Linked DNA regions of Elephas maximus indicus. The protein of the gene in region 3 purifies or fractionates together with the protein of the main gene of each other region. This does not show direct contact. Links are inferred from orthologs where the notes say so. Each region holds a gene or a part of one and is shown on either strand. Other genes may lie near its edges. The genes, in order: mitotic-spindle organizing protein 2B, TUBGCP3, NEDD1 and CCT7.

The links.
Region 1: the proteins of NEDD1 (region 3) and mitotic-spindle organizing protein 2B purify together in Homo sapiens (affinity purification with mass spectrometry; 3 studies listed by BioGRID and IntAct, with this or other methods). This does not show direct contact. The link is inferred for Elephas maximus indicus from reciprocal best matches to the Homo sapiens genes NEDD1 and MZT2B.
Region 2: the proteins of NEDD1 (region 3) and TUBGCP3 purify together in Homo sapiens (affinity purification with mass spectrometry; 3 studies listed by BioGRID and IntAct, with this or other methods). This does not show direct contact. The link is inferred for Elephas maximus indicus from reciprocal best matches to the Homo sapiens genes NEDD1 and TUBGCP3.
Region 4: the proteins of NEDD1 (region 3) and CCT7 purify together in Homo sapiens (affinity purification with mass spectrometry; 3 studies listed by BioGRID and IntAct, counting the BioPlex papers as one, with this or other methods). This does not show direct contact. The link is inferred for Elephas maximus indicus from reciprocal best matches to the Homo sapiens genes NEDD1 and CCT7.

The regions. Positions count from the first base shown.
Region 1 is NC_064840.1:21,597,355-21,604,286, reverse strand, and holds the start of mitotic-spindle organizing protein 2B, read left to right. Parts: upstream 1-3,913; 5' UTR 3,914-4,255; coding exon 4,256-4,419; intron 4,420-4,586; coding exon 4,587-4,735; intron 4,736-5,527; coding exon 5,528-5,692; intron 5,693-6,932. Other genes in the region: SMPD4 (sphingomyelin phosphodiesterase 4), read right to left, coding at 1,569-1,652, 3,570-3,644. UniProt on the Homo sapiens protein: Required for the recruitment and the assembly of the gamma-tubulin ring complex (gTuRC) at the centrosome.
Region 2 is NC_064841.1:78,744,079-78,751,747, reverse strand, and holds the start of TUBGCP3 (gamma-tubulin complex component 3), read left to right. Parts: upstream 1-4,666; 5' UTR 4,667-5,053; coding exon 5,054-5,129; intron 5,130-7,669. UniProt on the Homo sapiens protein: Component of the gamma-tubulin ring complex (gTuRC) which mediates microtubule nucleation.
Region 3 is NC_064822.1:162,446,239-162,453,396, forward strand, and holds the start of NEDD1 (protein NEDD1), read left to right. Parts: upstream 1-4,153; 5' UTR 4,154-4,224; intron 4,225-6,460; 5' UTR 6,461-6,468; coding exon 6,469-6,604; intron 6,605-7,158. UniProt on the Homo sapiens protein: Required for mitosis progression. Promotes the nucleation of microtubules from the spindle.
Region 4 is NC_064835.1:62,607,017-62,614,359, reverse strand, and holds the start of CCT7 (T-complex protein 1 subunit eta), read left to right. Parts: upstream 1-4,332; 5' UTR 4,333-4,469; coding exon 4,470-4,475; intron 4,476-7,343. Other genes in the region: PRADC1 (protease-associated domain-containing protein 1), read right to left, coding at 248-357, 893-993, 2,911-2,977. UniProt on the Homo sapiens protein: Component of the chaperonin-containing T-complex (TRiC), a molecular chaperone complex that assists the folding of actin, tubulin and other proteins upon ATP hydrolysis.

The DNA.
Region 1 (6,932 bases), on a different chromosome or scaffold from region 3:
TCACTTTGTGGCTTTTGCTGATATTCTGACTTAAGGCAAAACAGAAAGCCAAGCAATAGGCAGGAGCTAGACACACAACCACCAGCCTGCTCATCATACCTCCACTCATCAGGTCATGCTGCCCAACTGGCCTAGAAGAGGCCACCAGCAGTGAGGCTGCAGCCTGATGCATTCTCGACCAGCAGCTCTCAGGCTTGCTTCCCAGTGCCTCCCTGAGGCATCACCAGTGACCTCAGGGCACTGCATACCATCAGGACAAAACTGACTCCTGCACGATCCCCAAGAAAAGGCTTAGCTCCAGGGGCAGGAGAGGGCAGTTACGGTGTATGGAGCCCCTGCCCCCGCCCCAGGCCCTGGAGAATTCAGGGTTTGTAAACACAAATTGGAAATTTCCCACGCGGCTGACTGCCTTTGAATTTACATAAATGTGACAGCGGTGAAAATGGCCAAGAACATGAAGGCATCGGCAGATACTTTCTTTACTGCATTATCCCTTATATAGTAGATAACTAAGTAAAGAACTGGCTAAAACTACAGACAGTTCCAGCCAACAGTCGACACTAACCACCAAAGCAATGTAGTAGCCAGAAAACATTCAGGACGAGCACTAAGGAACTAAACATAAAGTTGTGGGATGAGGGGAGCAGGTGGCATCTTAACCGCGTGAAGGAAAGGCCTCTCTGCAAATGGACTGAGACCGGGAAGGAAAGCCAAGATTTTAACCACAAGGCCTTTGACCCAAGGATAGCTAAAGCCCTATCCAACTCTAAAAGAGGATGGACCATGGGTCTCGATCAGAGATGGAAACCTGGGCTGTTTAGGCCTTGGTCACCAGGGAAGAATGCCCTTCCAAACAAGTGTTTACAGAAAGTATCTCCTGGGAACTAAAATTAGAAACAAAATAGGAAAATAGGGTTCACCCTTCATCACCAGTACTGTCTCACACCAACTTCTTGGCATCACGCTTAATACTCAAAGCTCAGCTCCAGTTCCCCCAGCACAGCAGGGTTCGTCTTTCACTGACAACCAACCAGTTGCCATCGAGTTGACTCTGACTCACAGTTACCCCATGTGTGTCTGACTAGAACTGTGCTCCAGAGGGTTTTCGATGACTGATTTTTCGAAAGCAGATGGCCAGGCCTTTCTTCCAAGGCACCCCTGGGTGGCCGTGAACCTCCAACCTTATGGTTAGCATTTGAATGCATTAGCCGTTTACATCACCCAGAGGCTCCTTCGATGGTGATAGTTAGCTTTATCAAACCATCTCATATTTGTGTAATTATTTAAGGGCATGAAAATTCTGACGTCCATCCTCCTTGCTTACTCTTCCCCATGCCCAGGGAACAGGAAGAATAGGAATTTAAATCAATTCATCAACACCAGAGCTCAGAGTTTGAGGAACCCCAAGGTCCTACACCAACAGCAGACAGCATCAAGCTTAAAGATTCTAACTCTGAGTCCAGTGTTATTTCCATCACTGGGCCCTAAGGAAACAACCACTGGAGAGTTCTTTCTGTCAATGGAAAGAATACTTAAGTTCCTTTGCTCACATGGCCGTTGATACTCACCAGTAGGAAACTGGGCTGCTGCAAGTGAGGGAACGCCATGGCAGGTTCCCGTGGAGAGTCAAAGATGGCCGTCTTAGGAAACCACTGTGAAAAAACAAAAATGAGATCTCAACATTTACTACACAACAGATTATGTACATTCGCAATGCCCATGAGAATGTCTGTATAACCCAACACACACTGCACCACCACATCCCGTGTTTTACAGAAATGTCATTCTTATGCAGTTCAGGGTGGCCAGCTTCAGACCCAAGTTCATGGGGAATTTGCAGATGTAAGTAAAGGCTCAAGTCAATTGACCTTAGATACAGAGATTACCCAGGTGGACAGAGCGTGATCCCGGAGCAGAGCGTTTTCTCCAGCTGGTAACAGAGTGGAAGCCAGAAAATTCCAAGCATGAGAAGGATTCGATATGCCATAGCTACTTTGAAGGTGGAGGAAGCCACCTAACAAGGAATGCAGGCAGATTTTGGAGCAGAGAGCAGCCTCCAGCTGACAGCCAGCAAGGAAATGGTGACTGTAGTTCTACAACTGAAAGATACTGAATTCTGCCAGCAACCTAATGAGCTTGGAAGCAGATTCTTCCCCAGAGCCTCCAGGTAAGAACAAAGTCTTATAAAGCCCTAAGCAGAGAACCCAGCCAAGCCCACTTGTACTTCTGACTACGTAACTTTGAGATACTAAAAGGGTGCTATTTGAAGCTAAGCCTGCCACACAGCAGCAGCAAATACATCCTCACAACCACCGTATGAGGTCAGTACAGATTAGCAAACAGAGGGACAAAGGGGTTGAGTCACTTACCCACACCAGCTAGTAAATGGCTAAGCACAGATTCGAATACACAGACCTTCCAAATCTCTCAGAGACAAAGTTAAACACTGTCTATATTACCTGTGCTTTACGGGAATAAACCAAAGGAGGGAAGGGCAAGCTCTGCCAAGGTAGCCTTTGAATGAGCCATCAGAAAATCTCACTCACCCAGGACAGAAACTGAAAAAAACCCAGACTTCGACTGAGTAGGGGGGAAGCCTGCCCGAGTACCCTTGACGGCTTTTGGAGGCAGAGAGGCTGGGTACAAGGAAGCGGTGTAGGCAGCTGGGGTCTTAGCAATATGAACACTTCCAGGCTTTTTCGTTTCTCAGTTCTAGCTAGCTACCAGTTTCAGGTTTAAGAATGAATTAAAATAAAACGCCTCAGTCATAAACCATTTGATCAAGAAAACACTGTTTACTACTCCAAAACGATCAAGGCAGCATAAAATCCCGGACTGTTTGAAAAGGGTAGAGCCTTCCACACGAAGTGAAAGCACCACCCTGCTCAGGGGAAGCTGAAGGAATAAGCCCCAAACAGAGATCTTTCCAAGAAGCTGTTTCCCCGCACACTCTGTCCTCCCAGCGTGCAGCATCCACGCTCCTCCCAGTCACACCCCTCCGCGACTGTGCAACAAGCGTTTGTTTTATCCCGCCCCTTAAACACCCACTTTCTTCAGGAGCTGCTTCACACCCTGCTGTGGGGTTTGTTCTGAGGCCGGTAGCTGCTCCCGCCCTAGGCGAAGCAGCGGCATCCTCCCGTTTGTCGCTCACAACTGTCCTGTGAAGTGGGCATCGGGCCCTCATGTTGCAGAGGAGAACTGAAGCTTGGAGCAGTCGAGTCACATAGGAAGGAAGGGTCGGGCTGAGACCCAAACCCAGTCTTCCTCCCACACCACTCCCTGAGCCACAAGGCACAGCTTTAACTCGAAGCTCTCCTTCCTTGAACTCGTTAAACGAATGTTAACCGAGCACCTACCGGGACAGGTGTGCGAGCCGCCCGAATAAGTGACATGGAGGTGCAGCCCCGACCCTAGGCCGCCCCCGCCCGCCCCGGCCGGTGCAGAGACGCTGGGATCCAGCCCGAGTCCTGGGGCTCATGGAGGGGCGGCGACGCCCGGTGGGCCTCGGCAGGGACGTCAGGAAGCCGCCACGGTGCAGGGATGTCTCGCGGGCGGCTCCCACCACTCACCTGGGGCGCCCACAGCGCCGTTCGATTCAGGGCCCAACGCCGCCGTTCCGAAACCCAGCGCCTAAGTGTCGTCATCAAACTGCGCGTGATGTTACACCCCCAGCCCTGGCCAGGCGGGAAACGCGCTGCTACCCCTTCAGGAACCTGACTTAAAATGCGCGTGCGCAGAGGTAAGGCCTCCTGAGTTTGTGGGCGTCCGCCACGGAATGCGCGTGCGCAATGGGGGCGTTTGAGCCCTATACGCGGGAGCTCGTGCGCCATCTCCCTGGCCAGGAGTGCGCGTGCGCATAAGCAGAGGTCGCTTATTAGGCCCACCGAGGAGCGCCTCCTAGTGGTGAACAGGCACCTAACGATTACATGTGGCGCAGAAGACGTAGCAAGCGTTTATTGAGCGCCTACTATGTGCTCGACACTGGGCTGAGCGCTGATACTCGAACAAGCACGACCAACGCAGTCTAGCCCGGAATCGCCCAGGAGCGGATCCGGGCGGTTCATCTTGGGACCCCCTAGCCGATGCACAATAGGCGCTTAATAAATGCTACGGGGTCGGATGGCGGCACGGACGGAGTCCCGGCCCCCCTGCCCTCGCAGGTTTGGCGGCGGAAACGGCCAGGAGGGGGCGCTGTGGCGCGGAAGGCGGGGCCGAGGCGCGGGCGCCCAGTGCGCGCGCAGTTCCCGCCGCGCTGATGGCGGCGCCGGGCTCCGGGCCGGGGCAGGGGCCGCCGGCGGGGCTGGAGGCAGCCCTGCAGAAGCTGGTGCTGCGGCGAAAGAAGGTGCTGAGCGCCGAGGAGATGGAGCTCTACGAGCTGGCGCAAGCGGCGGGCGGCGCCATCGACCCCGACGTTTTCAAGTGAGCGGGTGCGGGAGGCTTGGCGCTCGGCCGACCCCGGCTCCGCTGGCCTGGAGGAGTCCCGCCCTTAACTGGCGGCCACTGTAGGGATGGGGTCCTGCGGGCGCGCCGAGCAGGCCCGGCCCCGGCTAGTGGGCTCACTGCGCCCGCTTTTTTGTTCTCGCCAGGATCCTGGTCGACCTGCTGAAGCTGAACGTGGCCCCGCTTGCTGTCTTCCAGATGCTCCAGTCCATGTGTGCCGGGCAGAGGCTGGCGAGCGAGCCCGCGGACCCTGCAGCCCTTCCTCTGCCCGCGGCCAGCGTGCCTGAGACTCGAGGTCAGAGCTGGGGCCGCCGGCACAGGGAGAGGGCAGGACGTGCGTAGAGGCTTGGCGCGGAGCGGCCAGACCTTTCTGTTGGTTTTGCTTCTGGAGCCGCAGGGCCCATTGCAAGGGCTTGCTCCGTGATCGCTGCTGCCCTCGAGGGGGCACCTCCAAATCTGGGGTGCTCGGGGAGGGTGCCCCAGGGCAGCCCAAGCAGGCCAGCGCTCCTCTGGACCCTTTGCATCCCCAGCACTCTTCCCGCCTCTTCTCTATACCTTCATTTCACAAACACGGGGGACAAGATGGTTTTGGTCCCTGTCCTCGGGGGGTGGGGCAGGCAGAAGCTTTCCTGGCACCCCCTTGCTCATGCCGCACTCCAGCCCAGGCCCTTCCTAGGGGTCTGGACTGCAGGGTGGGGGCCTACAGTGGCCCCTAGCTTTTCTAGAACATGCAGCACTCCCAGCTTGCGGGGATGCAGAGGTGACTGTGGGGTGCATAGGTGCTGGAACCACAGTGCCTGCTCCAAATCACCCTCCGTGTGTGTCGTTTCTGCCCCCCGTGGCCATTGGAGACTCAATGAGACTCAGTAGAACTTCCCAGGCAAGTGACAGGGGTCCAGGGCTTCCTCCCTGCCCAGAGGCCTGTGGGCACTGCACGGGCGTCCTGGGAAGGGGCTGGTGTCTGGGTGGTGGGAGTGCAGGGCCCTGGGTGCCTGCGCCCGTCCTAACAGGCCCTGGGCACGTGCGCTCCAGCCTCCACACTGACCATGCTCTGTCTGCTCTCTTTGTGTCTCTCTCCGACCTCCAGAGGCCTCCCTTCTCTCTGCCAAGAACAGTAGCCCCCCTGCAAGGCCCTCCTTTCCCGCGGCCTCTCCGGTTCTGCTCCACGGCCCGGCTGCCACGCTCTCGCCTCTCTCTCCGGGGCCCCCTGGTTCCCTCCGGTTCTCTTGCTGCCTGTTCTCTCCTTTTGCAGGTTGCGTTTATTGGCTTATCTCTGGGGGTTGGTGCTCTCATTTCCGTGGAAACGGCTGTGGCCCCAGCCGGCCAGATCAGCCTCAAGCTGCAAGGGCAGTACCACGAGCCAGCCGTGTCACCGTGTAGACACAGAGGGCACGATCTCAAGGTTAGAGATGACCTGCAGAACTTGTAGGCCATGCATTCAGACAGGTGTTAGGGGGAGGGACCTGCACCCCCACACCTCCTAGCTAATCCCGCTAGGTGTTAGCTAGGTGAGACTCCAAGGGATGACAACAGGCAGAGAAGCAGGGAGAGGCCTGAGGACAGCATGGGTGCTGTGGCAAGCACAGCCTTTGGCCTGGACATGCTTCAGCCTCTCGGAAGCTGTCACCTGGACAGGCTCCTAGGCCTCGGGGAACCTCCCGGAGGGTGAGGTGGAGATGCTGGTCCGTCCCCCAATTTCCCTGGCAGTGGTGCATGACTGACTTGTGCTTGCGAGTCCCCTTTCCTGCCTGGTGTCTGAGCCAGGCTACATTCCAGGCCTGGTGGTGTGATGAGACTGGGGTCCTAGAGCCAGGGGGTGGTGAGGGCCTGAGGTCCCCTAGGGTGCTGGTGTTGTGCCTCCCTCATGCCCCTCCCCGCATCCCCACCTCGCTATTGCAGGTGCCACCGGAAACTCAGGGCATGGCTGTCTCCCACACCTCCCTTCTTGAGGCCCTCCCCACAGACCAGCAGCCACCCTCCTGTGCCTCACTGCTCAGGCCCAGGGAGGTGCAGGGAAGGCCGATGATAGGAGCAGGAGTGGGTGGATTGCCAGGCTTCGATGAGGGAGCAGAACATTGCCTTGGGCCAGGGCATCCTACTTCTTGGAGGAGACAGAGTACTTATGCTTTGTAAACCTGGGTGCTGGGCACAGTAGGGAGGCAGGATGGACAAAGAGACAGGGGTGGCAGTGGGGCCAAGTCCAGTCCTGGGCAGCTCTGCTGGAGTTCAGGGGTTAAGCTGGGGGAGGGATGGTCAGCAGGGCCACTAGGCAGGCTTTCAGTACCAGCTGGAGTGGCAGATGTCACCCTGTAACCCTCCAGGGACTCTCCCTGCCAAATGTGGGACGGCAGGGCAGGGAATGCAGCACCTCCCGGCCTCTGGGGGAGCCAGGCCTGACCTGGGGTGACAGGAGGAGGGTGGAATGTCAAGAAGCATATCAGGGGTTGTGTCAGCAAGGCTTGGGGGCCATTGGATCTAGGGATGTGAACAGA
Region 2 (7,669 bases), on a different chromosome or scaffold from region 3:
TGTGGTTTGTTTTTCATTCTGTCAACACTGTATTCTTTTTTTTTAATTGTGCTTTAAGTGAAAGTTTATAATTCCAGTCAGTTTCTCATACAAAAACTTATACACACATTGTTATGTGAACCCTTTTGCTCTCCCTATAACGTGACAGCACACTCCTCCTCTCCACTCTGTATTTCCTGAGTCCATTCAACCAGCTCCTGTGCCCCTCTGCCTTCTCATCTCCTCTCCAGGCAGGAGCTGCCCACATAGTCTCATGCGTCTACTTGAGCTAGAAAGCACACTCCTCACTAGTATCATTTTATGTTTTCTAGTCCAGTCCAATCTTTGTCTGAAGTGTTGGCTTTGGGAATAGTTTTAGTTTTGGGTTAACAGACAGTCTGAGGGCCATGGCCTCTGGGGTCCCTCCAGTTTCAGTCAGACCAGTAAGTCTGGTCTTTTTACTAGAATCTGAGTTCTGAATCACACTGTCTTCCTGCTCCATCAGGGATTCTCTGTTGTGTTCCCTGTCAGGGCAGTCATTGGTGGTAGCCAGGCACCATCTAGTTCTTCTGGTCTCAGGCTGATGGAGTCTCTGGTTTATGTGGTCCTTTTTCTGTCTCTTAGGCTCTTATTTTCCTGTGTCTTTGGTATTCTTCATTCTCCTGGGCTCAAGGTGTATCGAGACCAACTGATGCATCTTACATGGCCACTTGCTAGCTTTTAAGACCCCAGACGTCACTCACCAAAGTGGGAAGCAGAACGTTTTCTTAATACACTTTGTTGTGACAATTGACCAAGATGTCCCCTGAAACCATGGTCCCCAGACCCCCGCCCCTGCTACTCTATCCCTTGAATTGTTTGGTTGTATTCAGGAAACTTCTTAGCTTTTGTTTAGTCCAGTAGTTCTGACTTCCCCTGTATTGTGTGCTGAGCTTCCCTTCACCTAAAATAATTGTTATCTACTATCTAATTTTTTCTTTTTTTTTAATCTAATTAGTGAATGCTTCTTCCCCCCCCCCACCCTTTTAACTATCAAAGAATGTTTTCTTCTGTATTTCAACCTTTTCTTGAGTTCTTATAATAGTGGTCTCATACAATATTTGTCCTTTTGTGACTAATTTCACTCAGTGTAATGCATTCCAGATTCCTCCATGTTATGAGATGTTTCAAGGATTCATCATTGTTCTTTATCATTGCATACTATTCCATCGTATGAATATACCATAATTTGATTATCCATTCATCTATTGATGGGCACTGTCATGGATTGAATTATGTCCCCTCAAAAATGTGTGTATCAATTTGGCTGCTCCATGATTTACAACATTGTGTGGTTGTCCTCCATTTTGTGATTATAATTTTATGTTAAAAATGGTTAGGGTGGGATTGTAGCACCACCCTTACCTAGGTCACATCCCTGATCCAACATAAAGGGAGTTTCCCTGGGGTGCGGCCTGCACCACCTTTTCTTTCTCAAGAGATAAAAAGGGAATGGAAGCAAGCAGAGAGTTGGGCACCTCATACCACCGAGAAACAGTGCCGGGAACAGACTGTGTCCTGTGGACCTGAGATGCTCCCAGACAGACCAAGGGAAGCCTGATGCATCACAAGGACCTTCCTCCAGAGCTGACAGAGAGAGAAAGCCTTCCCCTGGACCTTATGTCCTGAATTTGGATTGTAGCCTACTAGAAAGCAAGAGAATACATTTTTCTTTGTTAAAGCCATCCACTTGTGGCAACACTAGATGACTAAGACAGGCACCTTGGTTGTTTCCATCTCTTTGCTATTGTAAACCATGCTGCAATGAACATGGGCGTGCATATATCTATTTGTGTGAGGGCTTTATTTCTCTAGGATATATTCCAAGGAGTGGCATTGCTGGATCATATGGTACTTCTATGTCTAGTTTTTTAAGGAAGCACCAAATTGATTTCCAAACTGGTTGTACCATTTTACATTCCCACCAGCAATATACAAGTGTTCCAGTCTCTCTACAACCTCTCCAACATTTACTATTTGTGTTTTTTGGATTAATGCTAGTCTTGTTGGGATGAGATAGTATTCCATCGTAGTTTTTATTTGTCAACACTGTATTCTCAAAAACCATACCATACCCCATACCCATTGCTGTCGAGTTGATTCAGACTCATTGTGAGCCTACAGGACAGAGTAGAACTGCCCCACAGAGTTTCCAAGGAGCACCTGGTGGATTCAAACTGCAGATCTTTTGGTTAGCAGCTGCAGCACTTAACCACTACCCCACCAGGGTTTCCTTCTTAAAAACAGAAGTTCTTAATTCTTATGATGAATTCTTGTAACTCATGTTCACAAACATTTTTCTCCTATGCTTTGTTTTAGAAATTTTGTAGTGTTTGGCTTTACATTTAAGTCTCTGTCATCTGTGAATGTGGGTAGTTTTACTTCTTTCTTTCTCATTCGGAGTGCTTGTGTTTCTTTTTCTTGCCTAATTGCTCTGTCTAGAACTTCCAGTACGATGTTGAATAGTAGTAGTAAAAGTGGATATCCTTGTCTTGTTCCTGATCTTGGCGGGGGGAAGCTGCAAATATGTTAGCCCACCACCATCTGGTCTCCGTGGTTTCTGATGAGAAATCAGATGTTAATCTTATTGTGGATCTCTTGTATATGATGACTTGTTTCTTTCTTGCTACTTTTAAGATTCTCTCATTGTCTTAGGTTTTTGACAGTATGACTCAAAAGTTTTGACTCAGAAGTGATTAGGTTTAGGGCCCACATAATCTGTTATGAGCTTATTAACATAAAAAAATTCCTATTTCCAAACAGGGTCATATTTACAGAGATTAGGACTTTCATACATATTTTTGGGGTGGGGGACACAATTCAATCCACATCATTAGGAATCTGTCTGAGGTCAAAGTGTATAATCTTCTTAGGTATTTTTTTGAGCTTGTGTCTTGCCTCCGCACGCATGTGGCTTTCTAAATTCCCCCATATACATGGGTGGTTTGCACCCAGTGATGCTGCTGTCATGATTTACCTCAGAAGCCCAGGCAAATACAGCAGCAGGGCTGGGAAGTAAAGGGGGAGAGCCATGGGCATAGGCTACTATCTGAAACTGCAGTTTTGATCTTGATGTCAAGTTTTGGCCTTCCAATTGCCTCACTAAGAGCCTCCTACGGGTTCTTTCCTGTGACGCTTATGACTCGCCTAGTCCTCAAACTCAAATGGTAGAAGAGGACAGGTGTTAAAGTGTATAGTGAAGCAAAAAGGTTCTCCAGAGTCTGGGGCCTTCAATAGGCTACCACTGTGGTATCATAGGGGGGCATTTGTGATCCAGTGGTAGAGTTCTTACCTTCCATATGGGAGACACAGGTTCATTTCCAGTCAGTGCCTCTCACATGCAGCCACTAGCCATCTGTCAGCGGAGGCTTGTGTGTTGTTACGATGTTGAACAGATTTCATCAGAGCTTCCAGACTAAGACAGACTAGGAAGAAAGGCCCAGCAATCTACTTCTGAAAAATCAGCCAATAAAAACCTTGTGGATCACAACGACCTGATCCACAACTCATCATGGGGACGATGCAGGGCTGGGCAGCATTTTGTTCTGTTGTGTATGGGGTCACCATGAGTCATGGACGACTCAATGGCAGCTAACAACAAGAACATGGTACCGTATGTCACCTGTGATTTCAAAGAGGGAGCCTCAGGGGGTCTTTTTTTGGATGGGGTTGGAGTTCTTTTCTGGTAAGTCCTCTTTTTGTTTTCTGTCCTCCTAAATTCACTTGATAGTTGGAAAGTGCTTCTTTTTCCGTATTATAGGTCAGGCTATCCTGGGTTACAAATTCTTTCGATCTGATTTCCAAATTTCCTGGAAAGAAACTTTGATCGGTCCAGCTTGTGACAAGTACCCATTCCTGGTCTAATCTACCATAGCCACATGAACTGCACAGGCCCACTGATGGCAGGATCCCATGCGCTTAACCAGGTGATGTGATGTGCGGATTGAGTCATTTTTTTCTAGTTTTTTTTTCCTGGGTCAGGCAGTTTTCAGTACCTGGTACACTCGGAGTTAACTCCTATCATTGAACTTATATGATGTATTTGCTGTATTCATTAATCTTTTTCTTCTTTGGCCTTTTCCTCTTCTTTGAGTCTTCATCTGGCTGATTCTTATTCTTCCACTGATATCACAGTTTTATGGGACTGAGGTAAAGAAGCTGATGGAGGGTTGGGGTTGGTGAGTCAGTGTCATTAAAACTATGCCCTGAGCAGCCACATATTCTACGTATAAAAAGTGCCCACTTTGAGCACAACGCTCAAATGCTAAAAAAAAAAAAAAAAACTAAATGTAAAAAAAATTAAAACCCTTGTACTCCTGTCAATCAACTTCCACTAAAAGTACATCTCAAACCAATATAGTTTTTAAAAACTCCGAAATTATGGCGTATAAACGCGCTACGGGCCGCCAAGGGCTCTCATAGCAAGACAGTCAACCATGATGAGCCTCTGGGGAACGTTTTGAGATGTTTAGAAAACGTTCCCGGACGTACCCAGCAGCAGTGCTGACTGCGGACGTTACCACAGTAGGAGGTAGCATGGAGCAGTTTGTTCTCCGGAACGTTCCCGTCCCGCTTGGTGGTGGTGGTGGGGAAGCGTGCGGAGACGGGAGAGGGGGAACCTTTAGGCCATTGCACTCGGAAGCCCTGAAGCGGTGGGAAGAAGAAGGGCATTGTGGGGGCTGGCCTCAGTTTCGGCGGGTTCTGTTAAAATGGCGCCGTTGCTGCCCGCCGTCTCGGTTCCTTAACCTGACAGGGAAGGAGGTCGGGAGCTAGAGCGCGGCGCGGGGCTACGGCTGCGGCCGGTACGCGGGTCCCTGCGCGCAGCAGTGGCCGGATCGCGGCGGAGACCGGGAGCGCGCTCCGGCCTGAGGAGGCGGCGGCGGCGGCCGGCGGGTGCGCCGTGGGGGCAGCTTCCTCAGGCTCCCCGGCGGCTGGGCCCGCGCGCCCACCTCCCTCAGGCTCCCCGGCGGCTGGGCCCGCGCGCCCACCTCCCTCAGGCTCCCCGGCGACGCCCGTTTCCACAGCCGGGGCGACGATGGCGGTCGCGGACCAGAAGTCGCCCAACGTTCTGCTGCAGAACCTGTGCTGCCGGATTCTGGGCAAGAGCGAAGGTGAGGGCGCCCGGGCTCGGGAGCGGGGCCGCGGGGCGGGGAGGCCGGGGCGGGAGGCCGGGGAGGCCGGGGCGGGAGGCCGCTGCCTTCCTGGCGGAGCTCGGAGTCTGCCGGCAGCGGGGCGGAGGGTGTCGGGGCTGAGGGCTCGGAGCCCCGGGAGCTGAGGGCTCGGAGCCCCGGAGCTGAGGGCTCGGAGCCCCGGGAGCTGAGGGCTCGGAGCCCCGGGAGCTGAGGGCTCGGAGCCCCGGGAGCTGAGGACTCGGAGACGGCTGCCGGGCCGCCCGCTCATCCCCCCTTCTGACGTGACGGGAGCCCGGGCGCTTCATTTGGGTTTATTATTTGGGTTTTTGCTGACGCGGCGGGAGAAGGGTAGACCCGGTTCCCAGTCACACGCTGTGAGGGCGGTGCAGGGCGACGTTAGCTCCTCGGGTCGCAACGCCACGGGGGCGGCCACGTCGTTTTCCCCTTTCTCTTAGGAAAGTGTAACGTTGTTACGTGAAGGGGTACTTGTGACTACCAGCTACCTTTTTTTTTTTTTTTTTAATAGTAAAGGGTTGAAGGTTGGATTTTATATAAAACTATTCAGGAAAGTTCACACAGCGGATGTTGCTACTAAGAAGCAAAACCAAAAACCAATCCTATGCAATATGTAAAGCTCTTCTGTACCCGAGGTATTTTTAAAAATGGTCCAATATGTCATCTCTTGGCATGGGGGAGAGGAGAATTAGATGCATCATGAGAGAATTTTGCGGTAATCGAAGTAACTGGGTTACTTACTCCTTAAGCACTACAATGTGGAAAAGAAATTGTGCAATTTTTGAGGGAAGACTTTTAAAATACTACATTTAATAAAGTGTTAACGCTGTATTTTGACCTTTCTCTTATAACACATGACAGTTAGTGTGTGCCATTTATTTGATGTTCTGTGATAACCTTTGGGGCAAAAGGTAAATTTTTTGGGTGTCTGTGTTAAATAGAGGGTCAGCGAAAAAGAGGAGGACCTTCAAGGAGATGGATTGACACAGTGGCTACAACAGTGGGCTCAACCGTAACAACGATTGTGAGAACCGTGCAGGGCCAGGCAGTGTTTCATTCTGTTGTACATAAGGTCACTATGAGTGGGAACTGACTTGACGGCACCCGACAACAACAACATATTAAGGGACTCCGATTTCATAGTTCCTGCTACATTTTGTAACGTTCCATCTCATCACTGTTCACCCTAAGTATGCACTGTGCTAGGCGTGGTGAGGTAGAGCTGGACAGGATAGACATCTCATAGAGCTTACATTCTAGTGGAAAACGTAGATGATAAACACATAAATATATGATGATAATTAGTGATGAGTCTTAAGATGAAAACACTTATCACTAATGGTAGAGTAAAAGCACAGAGAGGGAGGTCAGAGAAGGCCTCTGAGGAGATGTTTAGAGGCCTGATTGGAGTGAGGAGGGTGGTGTGAGTATCTGGGGAGTGTTCCAGGTTGAGGGAACAGGGACAAAGGTCTTGAGGTGGGCATAAGCTTGTGTGCTGTCTTCTCTTTTTCTCTCTAGCTCCTGTATGTGTATCTCCAGCACTCTTAGTTAACTTCTCTAATGCTCCTAATCATGGGAGAAATGGGATAACCGTAGGATTGCTGGTTATGACTTAACAGCTTGAATACCAGTGTTTTCATTATACCAAAAAAATGAAACCTGTTGCCGTTGAGTCGATTCTGACTCAGAGCGACCCTTAACGTTTTTTCCACTGGAGCTAAACAACATAAACGTTGCCATTGCCGTGACTTAATTTTTTTCTCCATAAAAATCAGTTGTCATGGAGTTGATTCCAACTCATGGCAACCACATGTGCTACAGAGTAGACCTTCTCCATAGTTCTTTCTTGGCTGTAATCTTATCAGAAGCAAATCACCAGGCCTTTCTTCCATGGTGGAAGTGGGTGGGTTGGAACCATCAACCCTTAGGTTAGTGGTCAAATACAAATACAAGTGGGTGGGAACCATCAACCCTTAGGTTAGTGGTCAAATACAAACCATTTGTGCTCCCTAAGACGTTTATGTTTTTTCACCATAGTCCCTCCTTAACCTTAAAAATTTTTTTTTAATTGAGGTTAAATACATACAACAAAAAATTTATCATTTTTAAGTGTGCAATTCAGTGGCATTAGGTATATTCACAGTGTTGTTCAACCATCGCCACTGTCTGTTTCCAAAGCTTTTTATCACCTCAAACAGAATTTCTACGCCTAGTGATCACCTCAGACAGAAGTTCTACGCCTAGTGATCACCTCAAACAGAAGTTCTACGCCTAGTGATCACCTCAAACAGAAGTTCTACACCTAGTGAGCGGTAACTCCCTATGCCCTTCTTCCCACCACGACCCCCCAACCCAAGAGTAACCACTAATCTATTTTTCTGTCTCTATGCCTTTGCCTATTATAGATATTTCATTTAAATGGGATCACATGACTGGATTTTGAAGGTCATTCATTTTATGGTAGAATATTTCTCAACTTCAAAACAGCTTTAAAATTTGACTCT
Region 3 (7,158 bases):
GAAGAAAGTGGGAGGCCTCACTCTACCTGATTTCAGAACCTATTACACAGCCAGAGTAGTCAAAACAGCCTGGTACTGGTACAACAAGAGACACATAGACCAGTGGAACAGAATGGAGAACCCAGATATAAACCCATCCACATATGAGCAGCTGATATTTGACAAAGGCCCAGTGGCAGTTAATTGGGGAAAAGATAGTCTTTTTAACAAATGGTGCTGGCATAACTGGATATTCATTTGCAAAAAAATGAAACAGGACCCATACCTCACACCATGCACAAAAACTAACCCCAAGTGGATCAAAGACCTAAACATAAAGACTAAAACGATAAAGATCATGGAAGAAAAAATAGGGACAACGTTAGGAGCCCTAATACAAGGCATAAACAGAATACAAAACATTCCCCAAAATGACGAAGAGAAACCAGATAACTGGGAGCTCCTAAAAATCAAACACCTATGCTCATCTAAAGACTTCACCAAAAGAGTAAAAAGACCACCTACAGACTGGGAAAGAATTTTCAGCTATGACATCTCCGACCAGCACCTGATCTCTAAAATCTATATGATTCTGTCAAAACTCAACCACAAAAAGACAAACAACCCAATCAAGAAGTGGGCAAAGGACATGAACACACACTTCAGTAAAGAAGATATTCAGGCAGCTAACGGATACATGAGAAAATGCTCTCGATCATTAGCCATTAGAGAAATGCAAATTAAAACTACGATGAGATTCCATCTCACTCCAACAACCTGGCATTAATCCAAAAAACACAAAATAATAAATGTTGGAGAGGCTGCGGAGAGATTGGAACTCTTATACACTGCTGGTGGGAATGTAAAATGGTACAACCAGTTTGGAAATCTATCTGGCGTTATCTTAAACAGTTAGAAATAGAACTACCATGCAACCCAGAAATCCCACTCCTCGGAATATACCCTAGAGAAATAAGAGCCTTCACACAAACAGATATATGCACACCCATGTTTATTGCAGCTCTGTTTACAATAGCAAAAAGCTGGAAGCAACCAAGGTGTCCATCAACGGATGAATGGTTAAATAAATTGTGGTATATTCACACAATGGAATACTATGCATCAATAAAGAACAGTGACAAATCTGTGAAACATTTCATAACATGGAGGAACCTGGAAGGCATTATGCTGAGCGAAATTAGTCAGAGGCAAAAGGACAAATATTGTATAAGACCACTGTTATAAGATCTTGAGAAATAGTATAAACTGAGAAGAACACATACATTTGTGGTTGCGGGGGGAGGGAGGGAGGGTGGGAGAGGGTTTTTTACTGATTAATTAGTAGATAAGAACTGCTTTAGATGAAGGGAAGGACAATACTCAATACATGGAAGGTCAGCTCAACTGGACTGGACCAAAAGCAAAGAAGTTTCCGGGATAAAATGAATGCTTCAAAGGTCAGCGGAGCAAGGGCAGGGGTTTGGGGACCATGGTTTAAGGGGACTTCTAAGTCAATTGGCAAAATAATTCTATTATGAAAACATTCTGCATCCCACTTTGAAACGTGGTGTCTGGGGTCTTAAATGCTAACAAGCAGCCATCTAAGATGCATCAATTGGTCTCAACCCACCTGGAGTAAAGGAGAAGGAAGAACACCAAGGTCACACGATAACTAAGAGCCCGAAAGACAGAAAGGGCCACAGGAACCAGAGACGTACATCATCCTGAGACCAGAAGAACTAGTTGGTGCCTGGCCATAATCGATGACTGCCCTGACAGGGAGCACGACAGAGAATCCCTGAAGGAGCAGGAGATCAGTGGGATGCAGACCCCAAATTCTCACAAAAAGACCATACTTAATGGTCTGACTGAGACTAGAGGAATCCCAGCAGTCATGGCCCCCAAACCTTCTGTTGGCCCTGGACAGGAACCATTCCCGAAGACAACACATCAGACATGAAAGGGACTGGACAGTGGGTAGGAGAGAGATGCTGATGAAGAGTGAGCTAATTATATCAGGTGGACACTTGAGACTGTGTTGGCATCTCCTGTCTGGAGGGGGGATGGGAGGATAGAGAAAGTTGGAAGCTGGCAAAATTGTCACGAAAGGAGAGACTGGAAGGGCTGACTCATTAGGGGGAGAGCAAGTGGGAGCACGGAGTAAGGTGTATGTAAACTTATATGTGACAGTCTGACTTGATTTGTAAATGTTCACTTGAAACTCAATAAAAGTTAATAAAAAAAAATACAATCTAATCTTGTAGATTGAGTTCTACCTCATTAACATAACTGCCACAAATGGAATTTCATTAATGTCATAGAGGTAGGATTTACAACACATAGGGAAATCACATCAGTTGACAAAATGGTGGACCATCACACAATACTTGGAACCATAGACTGGCCAAGTTCACACACATTTTGGGGGGACACAATTCAATCCAGGACAGTTGCTATGAGTTGTAACCTACTTGATTGCAAATGGGTTTGTTTTTGTTTTTTGGTTTGGACTATATGAAGAATTCAGCATCAGGATTGGAAGAAGACTCATTAACAACCTGTGACTGCAGATGACACAACTTTGCTTGCTGAAAGTTAAGAGGACTTGAGGCACTTATTGATGTAGATCAAAGACTACAGACTTCAGTATGGATTCCACCTCAACCTAAAGAAAACAAAAACCCTCACAATTGGACTAATAAGTAACATCATGATAAATGGAGAAGAGTTTAAAGTCAGCAAAGATTTCACTTTACTTGGATCTGCAATCAACACCACGGAAGCAGCCGTCAAGAAATCAAATAACGTATTTTATCGGGCAAATCTGCTGCAAAAGATGTCTTTAAAGTGTTGAAAAACAAAGATGTCAGTCTGAAGAGCAAGGTGCACCTGACCCAAGCCATGGTATTTTCAATTGCCTCATATGCATGAGGAAGACCAATTAAGAATTGATGTCTTTGAATTATGGTGTTGGTGAAGAATATTGAACATGCCATGGACCAGCAGAAGAATGAATGCTTCTCAGAAGTAAGGATGGCAAGACGTACTTTGGACATATCAGGAGAGACCTGTCCCCGGAGAAGGACAACAGGCTTGGTAGAGAGTCAGTGAAAAAGAGAGAAACCCTTAATGACATTGACACTGTGGCTGCAACAATGGGCTCAAGCATAGCAACGATTGTGAGAATGGTGCAAGACCGGGCAGTGTTTTGCTCTGCTGTATATAGGGTCACTATGAGTCAGAAGGAAACCCTGGTGCCATAATGGTTAAGTGCCACGGCGGCTAACCAAAAGGTCGGCAGTTCGAAACCACCAGGTGCTCCTTGGAAACTCTATGGGGCAGTTCTACTCTGTCCTGTAGGGTCGCTACAAGTCAGAATTGACTCGACAGCAACAGGTTTTGCAATAGGTTATGAGTCGGAACTGACTAGATGGCACCTAACAGCAATATAACCACAACAACACTCTTAGAGAAAATTTTAGTACTGTTAAAAGGGACCCTCAGTTTAACTCTCTCTTTTTCCACCCCAGAAGCATCCCCTTAAAAACATTTCATAACCCTATGGGGTCTGAAGTCACAGACCCTGGAGCCTGTTGTGAGAGAAAGATCATGGGTTTTGCAATTTAACAGTAGAATTGCTACTCTTTGGTAAATTGCATGCCTTATCATTATCTGCTCTTCATGGTTTCCTCTTCAGGGGAGCCTTTCCTAAAATCACATTCATGTTAATTTCCCTCTAGTGTATCTTGTACCTACCCTTTGTAGCATTTGTCACAGTTTCACTTTTCATGTATGCAATTATTTATTAACCTCAACCAACTATATAAGACTGTCAACTCCATGAGGCCAAGGGCTACCTCTGTATCCCCAGGTTATTCTCCTTACTGTACGCCCAGACTCTAGCACAGTGCCTGGCACAGAGTAGGCACTCAGGGAGCAAATAACGGACAAAGCAGCAGCTTCCTGCGGCTGGAGTGCAGGCCTGGGACATGTAGGGAGCCGCCCAGCCCAGCAGTTCCCCGCTCAGGAGCCAGAATCACCACCCTTGCGGAGGGCAGTACCACCCCTGACTCAGCCCCACCAACAGAAACCGCTGCTTTGGGCCGCGCCCCGCCCTGCCCCGCCCCTTGACGTAATTTGGAGGCGGGACTTCCGGCCGCCGAAGTTTAACAATCCAGGCGGGAGCCGGAAGCCTAGCGCTGGAGCGGGGCGGGCAGTGGTTCTCTGTTGTGCCGCCGGTGAGAGGTGAGGTCCCGGAGGGCCGGGGTCAGCTGGCCGCTGCCGCCACGTCTTTGCGTTCCGCTTGAACCCCACCTGTCCTCCGGCCACCTCAAGGGGCTGGTCGGAGGCCCCTGGGCGCCGTGCGCTCTGACCTGCCCGGCGCTCCAGGCCGTTGCTGGGTAGGGGCGAGGCGGAGCAATTGGCGCGGAAATGCCCCGGAGTGGGCGCATGAGTCGCGGTCCGGGGTCGTGCGCTCCGACTTAGGGGGCTTCAGTCCCTGCCCGAGTGGTCGCCTGGGTCAGCTAGGGTGGGTTGGTGCGACTCTGAGGCATGTTCTATCTCCGAAAAGTTTACCTTGTCTTCACAAGTTTGTTTCCTTTTTTATAAACTTCAAATATGACTCGTTTAGCAGGCACGCAAATGCATTTTACAGGGTACCCCAGTTGAGCAGTTCTGCAAGTAAAATGCGTTTTTGGCGAATGAAAGTTGGATAAATTTTATTTGTTCAAGCTGACTGTCCGAGTGGAATTGTTTCAGTTAGTCCCTATCCCCAGATCGGGGCCGTCTATTAACAGCTCACTTTCAGTGGGACCCTGTCAGAGGCTGATGTAATGCTTATTCCTTTAATGTGCTCAGTTTTCAGAAGACTGATGTAGTTGGGCAGATGGTCTCCGTTTCCCGCTCCACTTTCAGAGAAGGAAATAGACATTTAATGGCCAAAGACACTGTCACCTACCTAACTCAGGTGGATCGCTTGATCAGTTTTTCTGAGCCTTAGTGATCTTTCCACTGTGTCACACCACTAAGGAGGAATGGTGCAAGATTATAGTAGTGAAGGCTTTCAGTTGTGTTTACTGGTTTAGAGATGGCTTTTCCAGCACTTCATTGTTCCTTGCCTAGGGAACCAGGAGGGCACATGTTAAGGCACCAGATCCAAACCCTGTATGTCTGCATTTCAGCAGGTAACTAACAACTGTTAGTAGCATCACATTTATCTGATGCATGAAGCATGATGAATCACAGTAAATTTTCCAGTTAACAAAAGTTTTAGCCTTTTTATTAGCACACTACTTTTTTTTTTCGTCTCTTGGGAATGAGAGCATTGTGTAATTTATTATGCTTGTCCTCTGCAATGGAGTAGACTGACTATAAATGTGATGTTTTATTGATGATTTGGGGGCCTGTCTGTGACATCGGTAATGCTGTGCTAGTCTTGGACTGTCCACACTAGGAAGGTGTGGAGGGCTGTATATATATGTTCTCTCCCTTCTGCTTTCTCCCATGGTAATTTTGAACATTTTTTTGTGACTGGTCATCTGTTACTACTTGTTGTTCTTTAAAGTGCCTGCCTAAAGCAGCTTCCCTGCCCTCTTTCTTGTAGACTGCTGTGCATTGGGAAATCACCCTGTTAGATTATAGTTTGTATTATATGTCATGAATAAATAATCTGAGTAGGGGCTTAGTGACGTCTCCTTTGGCCATATTTGCTAATTTTGGATTTGTTTGGAAAAACTGAGGTGACTGGGTTCAGAACTCTCGGAGTGTTACAGTTTGATAGCGTACATTTTTTAAAAGGTAAGGAAGTCACCTATCCAGTAGTTATTTGTTGAGTATCTACTGTGTGCCAAGGACTTAAAGAATTTGGTAATAAGCAAGACAAACTCCCTGCCCTCAGGAACCTTTATTTTATTCAAGTCTCTTTAAGGAGGTACACATTATTAGAACAAATAAGAATTTCTGATACTATTAAGTGCCAGGAAAAAAAAAATGAAACAGTAATGGGATAGAAGATAACTGGGGCTGCTTAAGTCATGGTGCTTGGGAGAGGCCTAAATGATGAGATAGGTGGCATGAGAAATCTGGGCAAAGAGCTTTCCAAGCAGAGGGAGCAGAAAATGCAAAGGTGAGAATGACCTGGGCTTGTTGCATGAGACAGAATGAAAGCCAGTGTGTCCGGAGTCTGATGGACTGGGGGAAGAGTGATAGGAGAGAAGTACACAGGGTTCAGGGTCTTGAGAAACATGCTAAGGGTGTTGAGTTTCATTGTTGCTGTGAGGAGCGCTAGGAAGGGTCACTAGGAGAATGTGATCTGGTTTATGTTGTAAAAAGATTTCTCCAGCTGCCTTATGGTGAGTGCATCCTATGGGGCATAAGTGGATTAGTAGGGCTATATACTCTTGTTTTATATTAGAGGCTTCATTTTGACATTTTTTTTGCCTATCAGTTGCTTTTTAAATTTATCGTTTTAAACTGTTCGTAGGTGCAGTCATGCAGGAAAACCTCAGATTTGCTTCATCAGGAGATGATATTAAAATATGGGATGCTTCATCTATGACATTGGTGGATAAATTCAACCCACACACATCACCACATGGAGTCAGCTCAATGTGTTGGAGTAGCAATAGTATCCTTTTTCTCTTATAGCCCCTTTTTATTAGCTTAAAAAAAAAAGTGTCAGTGAAACTTTTGAGTACAGCCCATAATGAGAAATGTATTTTGCAGTGCTACCAAAGATAAAGTAAAACAGACACTTGATGAACAGTATACCATATAAATGCACTCTGGTATTCTTTATTTGGTTTCATTTTTTAGATGGAGTCCACTACATTGAAAAACACTGTTATTTAAAAAAAAAAAAAAAAAAACTTAGCTACGAGAATCTGGACTCTAGAATTAGTTGTATTTTTTTTTTACTATAAACAGGTTGTTATTGAAGTAAATAGGATAAGGTAATAGTGGGAAAAATCCCAGAAGGTTTTGGAATAAGTTTTTGCATCTTTATTTGGGTATTTGTGGATCCAGTCTAGAAATTATAGGCAGAAATTGAAGGCCGAAGCAAAGGTTGATTGGGAGGAGTTAAAACGTCTAACAGCTCTATCTTACTGATGTACTTACTCTCTGCATTTCCCTTCCTTTCTGTGATGAAAGTAGCATCATTTCTCAAACAGCCATAGAGAA
Region 4 (7,343 bases), on a different chromosome or scaffold from region 3:
AAAGGGTCCTAGCTACCCCTTTCCAGACCATCACCTGTGTGGGTGGAAGAAGGACCATGGAGGATTTTTTATAATGGCTAGTAGGTAAATAGCCAAAGGGCCGGAATCATCTTAAGATAGTTTTAAACACCTTTAAAACAATGACTCGTCCCCAGAAAAGCTGTTTCAAAGCATCACTAACAACTATGACCCCCAAATCTGCCCTATGCCTGCTCTCCCCTTGTGTCCATGTCTGCCCGCTCCTTACCCCCTCTCCACCAGAGCGATTTGGTCCTGGATGAAGAAACCGTTGCTGAGTTCCCCACAGGCCTCTGGGGGTTCGGCAGGGACAAGGTGGATCTGCTCATACCTTGTGTGCTGAAAGACATTCAGGTAGAATAGAGTGTGAAAAGATGGCTGCTTTCTGACTGCGCTGACATCCCATCCAATTGGTTTCCCGTAGAGTGTGAAGGAAACATGAACTGGTTTCTGTGTGCAGGGAACTGGAGCATTGTAATTCTCACGAAGGCCCAGATGATTGTCCTACCCAACCCTGCCTTTCTGGGAGATAGGGGAGTTTGTGTGGACCCAGAGAGGGGAAGTGACTTGCCTTAAATCACATAGTTCAGAGGTAGAGCTGGCAGAGGAAGCTGGTGCCTTTGGTTTCTCACTATGTCATGACAGCCTGTCCCTCCATGGTGCCCAGGTCTGTGCTAGACCCACGGGAGGAGCTGGAAGCATTTCCTCCCTGCACTGCAGCCCCTGGAGGGCACAGCTGGGTTCTGATCCATTCCCCGGCTCAGCACTGGGCCGTGGCGGCACTCAGGTACTGGTTGAAGGGATGAGAGGGACACCCAGCTCAGTGAGGAGGGGAGGAAGAACGTCAAAATGGAGAGGGCCTCCGGAAACTTACAAAGATACCACCAAAGTCCTTGGCAGGTGTGGCTGTGAAGATGTATCGAATGTCCCCAGGACTCAGCACTTGGAAGTACAAATAGTCATTGATACGTAAGCCTGAAGGACAAAGAGTACAGGTGAGAAGCTTCCGGGGAACAAGTTAGTTCAGGTTCAGACCGTGGACTCTGGGTCTGAACCTGGGCTGACTGGTCTCCCCAGGAGGGTGAGATAGACGGTCTTTGCCCTGTAGAGGATAGAGTTGAGGCAGATAACATTAGTAACCCCAGAGATTTATAGCTGCTGTTCTAGTGTTCTCTCTCTGGGGAGTTAATCCTTGTTTGCTCTGAAGTGGGCCTGGGAGTTTCAAGGTGGAGATGTCGTGGCCCCGGTAAACAATTCTCACTAAAACTTAAAATTGACTCTCTGTTCCCACTGCCATTCCCCTAGCCCACCCACCCTATTGCCCTGACTGTTCCAGCTTCTTAACTTTTGTTTGCCTCCACTCTTGCTTCCTAAGGTCCATTCTCCAAACAATAGCCATCTTAACACATAAACACGACCATGTTGTCATCCCCAGGACTTCAATGACTTCCCTTTGGACTTAAAATCGAATCTTAAGTCTTAACAGCCTACAAGACACTGCTTGATCTGGCCCCCGGACACTACTGCAAGCTCATCTCCTCCTTACTATATTCAAACTACGCTGCCCTCCTTTCAGTTTCTTGACCATCCCAGCTCTTCACTTCTCCAGGTCTTCCTCCAAGTTGTTCTCTCTACCTAGAAGGCTCCCTACCTTCACTCACCCCACGTATTTACCTGCCTCACTCCTATGCATCCTTTGGGTCACAGCTTAAATTTCACTTTCTCAGAGAAACTTTCTGCACTGTGACTGCCTTCTCCTAACACCCATTCGAATTGAGTTCCCCTCGTACTTCTTCTCCACTGACGTTTTCAACAAAATTTGTAATTGTATTCATATTCATTGCTGCATCCCCAGTGTCTAACACAGGGGCTAAGATATAGCGGGTGCTCAACAAAGGGTGACGAATGAGCAACTATTTCTGGCTCCAACACACTGAGGAAGAGAATTGCCAGAGCAAACAGACTTTCCTGGGGTGTGGGAACTTCTTTTCAGCACCAAAGTTTAATATTTTACCTGGCCTCGAGTCCCTGGTTTCCTTAGCCATGGATCAGCTAGCCAACAAATTACCATGCACTACCATGTGCCAGACTTTGGGCTGATTGTGACTAGTTGTCCTCGCCTACTGCCCACATCACTGCCACCAGGTAGCGCTCTGTTGGCTTGGCACTGGGCAATAGCGTTTTGACCCAAGAATGGGGACTCTCCATCCAATACAGATGCACTTCCAGGAGGCCTTCCTGAATTAAAGCTAAGCTCCCCACCCCACCTCCTTGCCTAGCCTCTGCATCTGTTTATCTGTGTAAATTAAGTGTGAGTATATGTGTGTATGTATATATACGAGTCGGAATCGACTCGACGGCACTGGGGGGTTTATATATATGTATACACACACATACACACATATATAGGGTTATGAGCTGGAACCGACTCCACGGCACCTAACGACATATACAAATATATACATACATGTATACATGGCTGTATACGTACATGTGCTTGTGTAGGTGCTAACAGATTGTGTGTGCTTGTGTGAGAGCCCAGATGTAGGATTATATGCTGTATAATTTTTTATTATATTTTTATGTGTATGAGTGCTCACATACATATCTCCAGCTTGTAGGATTTTCCAGGTGTCCCTTGTGCCTCGTCCTGGTCACCACCCTCGGCCACCTGGGTCCTGCTTCAACGTGGGGGGCTGAGGACTCAGAGTCTAGGCTTGGGCTGCGCCTAGCGCATGTCCCTGGGGACCAGCACCCAACCAGCCAGCCATCTGTCCCCGCACCTGCCCTGCCTCAAACTCGCGGGGTCCCCAAGGTGACCCGTGGCCCCCAGCCGGAGACGCGCGCAAGCTGGACGGCCTGCCCCACAGCGCAGTCCCGCCCGTTGCTCACCGTGGGCCGCGACGCACGCGGGGAACCAGAGCACGAGACAACACCAGCCCGCGGCCCCAGGGACCATTTCCAGGGCCCTGCCCGGCTCTGCGTTTTCCCCCGGCGCCCCGCCGCGCGTCCCTCGCCGGACTTCAGCCGGAGAGCTGCTCCGGCCTCCCGCCCACAGACCCGCTCTCGTGGCTTGTTGGCTAACCGGAACGAGGCCTGTTGCCGATTGGCTCTCATGCCTGCTCATGTAGCCACGCTTTCCGCCTCTGCGCCTTAGCCTACTTCCCATTGGCCAAGAGAAGTGGGGCTGAAGGCTGATTGGCTTAAGCTGTGAACACCAATTGCCAGCCCTCGCCCCAGCCCCGCCCCAGCACTTCTCAGTTTGGATATGACTCTCCAAGGCTTCACCGACTGGTGGGCCGGTCCGGGAGGAGGGAGAATTGGGGGTGGGCACCCCGGATGACTCGCTTCAGCGGCCTAAAAGCCCTGGCGGTTAGTTCCTGCCATCTCGGCCGGATCCTCTCCGTGGCCGCTTCACAATTTATTTGCCTTCTCCCAGGCGTGAGCACTCTGCTTTGCTTTCCTTCCCCCAATCCGTCCCACGCCCCCACCCCGCGGGAAGGCATTTGTCTAGCGCCCAGGTGGCCCACCGTTCTCGGCTTGGCGTTCAAGGCCCGCCAGTCTTATGCCCAGTTGCATCATTTCTTGCGCGCTCACTATTCGTAGGCGTTGGGAACGCGGCCTGATCTGCAGCCGTAAGGCTTTGGCCAGTGCAGAGCCAGAAAACGAGTATTGGGGCCAGGTTCTCACCCCGCCTCACTGTCACACTGTGTGCAACTGTGACTTTGGACACCATTTCTTAACCTCTCTGAGCTTCAGTTCCTTCATCTGGAAAAGAGGTATAATAATAAGACAAACAAAAGAACCAAGCCCGTTGTTGAGTCGATTCCGACTCATAGCTAGCGACCCTATAAGGCAGAATAGAACTGCCTGGCAGCGTTTCCAGGGAGCGGCTAGTGGACTCGAACTGCCGGCCTTTTGGTTAGCAGCCAAACGCTTAACCACTGCAACACCACGGCCCCTAGGTATAATAATAGTACCCAGGCAATAGGGTTGTTAGGATTGAGCTCATTTACGAAAAGCGCTTACTTAGCATAGGCCAGTTTCACAGCATTCAATAAATGCACGCGTTTATTGCATTCCTTGGTCTAGTGTCCAGTGGGGGATCGGGGCGGAATCAGGGTTAGTAGGTGACGGGGGCGGAGTAAGAAGCCTGCACCACCGAGAAGAAAAACGCACGACCGGAATCCGGAGAAGCTTCGGTAATTAAGGCCTCGGGTAGCGGGACCTACACCTCCTTCCGAAGCCCAGCCTCTGGCCCTTCTAGCCTTGCCGACTCTGTGGTAGAAGAACCATAGAGTGGCGGAAGTGGCCCGTCCCCTTCCTCTCCCGGCACAACGCCTTGACGAAGGTTCTGCGAACTTCTTTGGCGCGAGGCATTGTGGGGTTGCCGGACGGCCGGGACCCAGAGAAGAGAGGAGGAGGAGCGGGCCATTAAATAAGCTTCCAAAATGATGGTGAGTGGAGTCCCGCGCATCCGTCGCCATCCGCTGCCATCCTGCCCGTGGCTGGCACCGTCTGGCCGGGACCCATCCCTTAAAGCCCTCTCCTGCGTACCAGCTCTGTGTCCACCCGACCGCAGCCTGTGGGCGACCCCGGCCCGCAGCGGCCTGGCTCGGTTAGGGCACCGAGCAGGGGCCGTTGGCGAGGGCTGCGTAGGGCTCCAGGGGAGGCTCTGGCCGATCGGCTGGGGACTACAAGTCCCAGGGTGCTTCGGGGCCACGAGCCCGCGTCGTGGACCCGGGCACCCCGTTTTTGGGGTCCCCCATCGAGATTTGTGTGAAAGGAGTGCCAGTTGGGCGTGCTTCTGCGGTTGGCGGCTGGGAAGCTGGCTTGCCCCTGAGAATGCTGGATGTAAAGACGCTATGTGGTTCCTAGAACGGGCAGAGGCAGCATGGGGACCTTACATTTGGCCGAGCCCAGGGTTTCACTTTATGGTAGCTCACTGTCCCCCAGCCTATCCGGTGCAGCATAAATTGAGACAGCATAAATACTCCTCCGCTCGTATTTTCATTCATTCACACACTCATTCATTCCTTAAATAAACGTATATTTAATGCCCATTGAATGTACCAGGCTCAGCTTGTCGCAGGAGGTGCAGCTCTTTAGCCAGAATGGGCAGGGTAGACGGGAACACCGCACTCAGAGGTTGGAAGACCCTGGCTGTGACCCCCGACCTCTTGGTGCGACATTGGACTAGACTTTTCTAGTTGGCCCTTAACTCTGGGTCTTTTCCTTAGAATAGAGGACTGGGGGATCGTGGAGCTCTCCCCCTCCCACAACATCCCTTTTCTCTATCTCGGAGCTGCAGGTTCCTTCCCTGTTTCCCAAACTTAGGTAGTTATCTACTGAGTTGCTGTTGGACGAGGTCAGCTCTTAAGGAGGTTATTGCTGGCAAAACTCTTAAGTTATTGTTCCCCTGTGCACCTGGCAGTTTTCTCATTCATTTTGGCCTCTCGGTCTGACTCGTCCTCTTTTCTGGCTCCCTGCCGCTTCTCCCTGCCCTGGTAGATGTATGACTGACACCTTTGAGGTGTTCCTTCTGCTACTGAATGCCCCATGAACCCAGGTTGTGCCCAAGATACAAGGAACCTGTAGTTTATCTGCAACCCTCCCCACTTTGGACCTCTGGCACCATCCTTCTTCAATCCACCTTCAACACTACCTATTCTTGACATGGTCTTCACTTTCTGGACAGAGGCAGCATAGAATAACTGTTTAGAGTCAGGGCTCTGGAGCCATATTGAATGTCTAGGTTTATAACTCAACTCTCCCATTTACTAGCTGTGTGACTTGGAACATGTTACTTAATTTCTGGTCCTCAGTCAGTCAGAAGAGATAGCAATGAGTAGAGTATTGTATAGAATTAAGTGAATTAATGTATGTAAAGTGCTTAGAGCCATGGCTGGCATGTAGTAAGCACTCAGTAAATGTTAGCTATTACTCAGCCAGGTGGTTGCTTACTTCCTTTTCCTCCCTGTAGTCTATCCTACTGCCAAGGCTACCATAAGAGTTTAGGTTGGTATTCAGAGAACTGGGAATCAGAACTCAGGTTCTTCTGTCTGATAATTAAACCCTTCACCAGGGGACTTCAGACCACTGCACTTGGGTTTTTCCTGAATGGACCCCTACTCATCATTGCCAGATTGACCCTATTTCCCTGCTCTTTTGGTTGTTTAGATAGATGTCTCCTCCTTTTGTAATGTGAAACTTTCACCGAGAATCCTCCTTGCTGTCATCAGATTGTTCTCTGATATTCTAAAAGTCTTCTAGGGTAATAAGAAAACAACAACAAAAAAACCAAACCCGTTGTGGTCAAGTCGATTCTGACTCATAGCGACCCTGTAGGGCAGAGTAGAACTGCCCCATAGAGTTTCCAAGGAATGCCTGGTGGATTCGAGCTGCTGACCTTATGGTTAGCAGCTGTAGCTCTTAACCACTGCATCGCCCTGGGAATATGATAGAAAAGGACTGGTCCTGCTTGACAAGGCTTGCCTCAGTCCAGCTCTGCTACGTCTCCATAGGATCTCTCTACCCAGACTGTCGTTTCTGTTGGGACTACAAAGCATGGGGAACTTGGAGAACATGCGGTCAGCTGCTTCCAAGTCCTTGCTTTGTACTTAAGAATTGAATTCTCAGTGTATTTAGTGTCACCATACTGCCAACTCTTTAATGAAATAAGCCAGTCCTATCTTATTTCATGGCTTGTATCAAGCACTTTCTAGTATATGATGTTGTTGTTGGCTTTTGTCAAGTTGGGCCCTGACTCATGGTGATGTCGTGCGCAGTGGAAGAAAACGCCTGTTAAAATCCATAGGGTTTTCTTTGCTGATTTTTAGTAGTAGTAGATTGGCAGGCCTTTCTTCCTAGTCTCTTCATCTGGGAGCTCTGCTGAAACCTGTTCAGCATCGTAGCAACACGCAAGCCTCCAGTGACAAACTGGTGGCGACTGCACATGGGGTGCAAACCAGAAAAACCAAACGCCCTGCCACTGAGTTGATTCTGACTCATAGTGACCCTATAAGATTTCCAAGGCTATAAATCTTTACGGAAGCAGACTGCCACATCTTCTGCATACGTGAGGTACATTGGCAAGAATTGAATTTGGGTCTCTTGTGTGAATCGACTCGACGACACTGGGTGGTTTCTGGGTGTGTAAAAGGCAAGAATTCTATCACTGAATTACCAGTGTCCCCTCTAGTTTATGTAATGGTTGAAATTTCAGCACCAAAAGCTGCTGAATGTTGTTTCACATGTGGCCAAATCTAGCCGTTCTACAAATGGAGATTGCTATAGTGCTTACCTTTGGGAAGCTCATACATTAA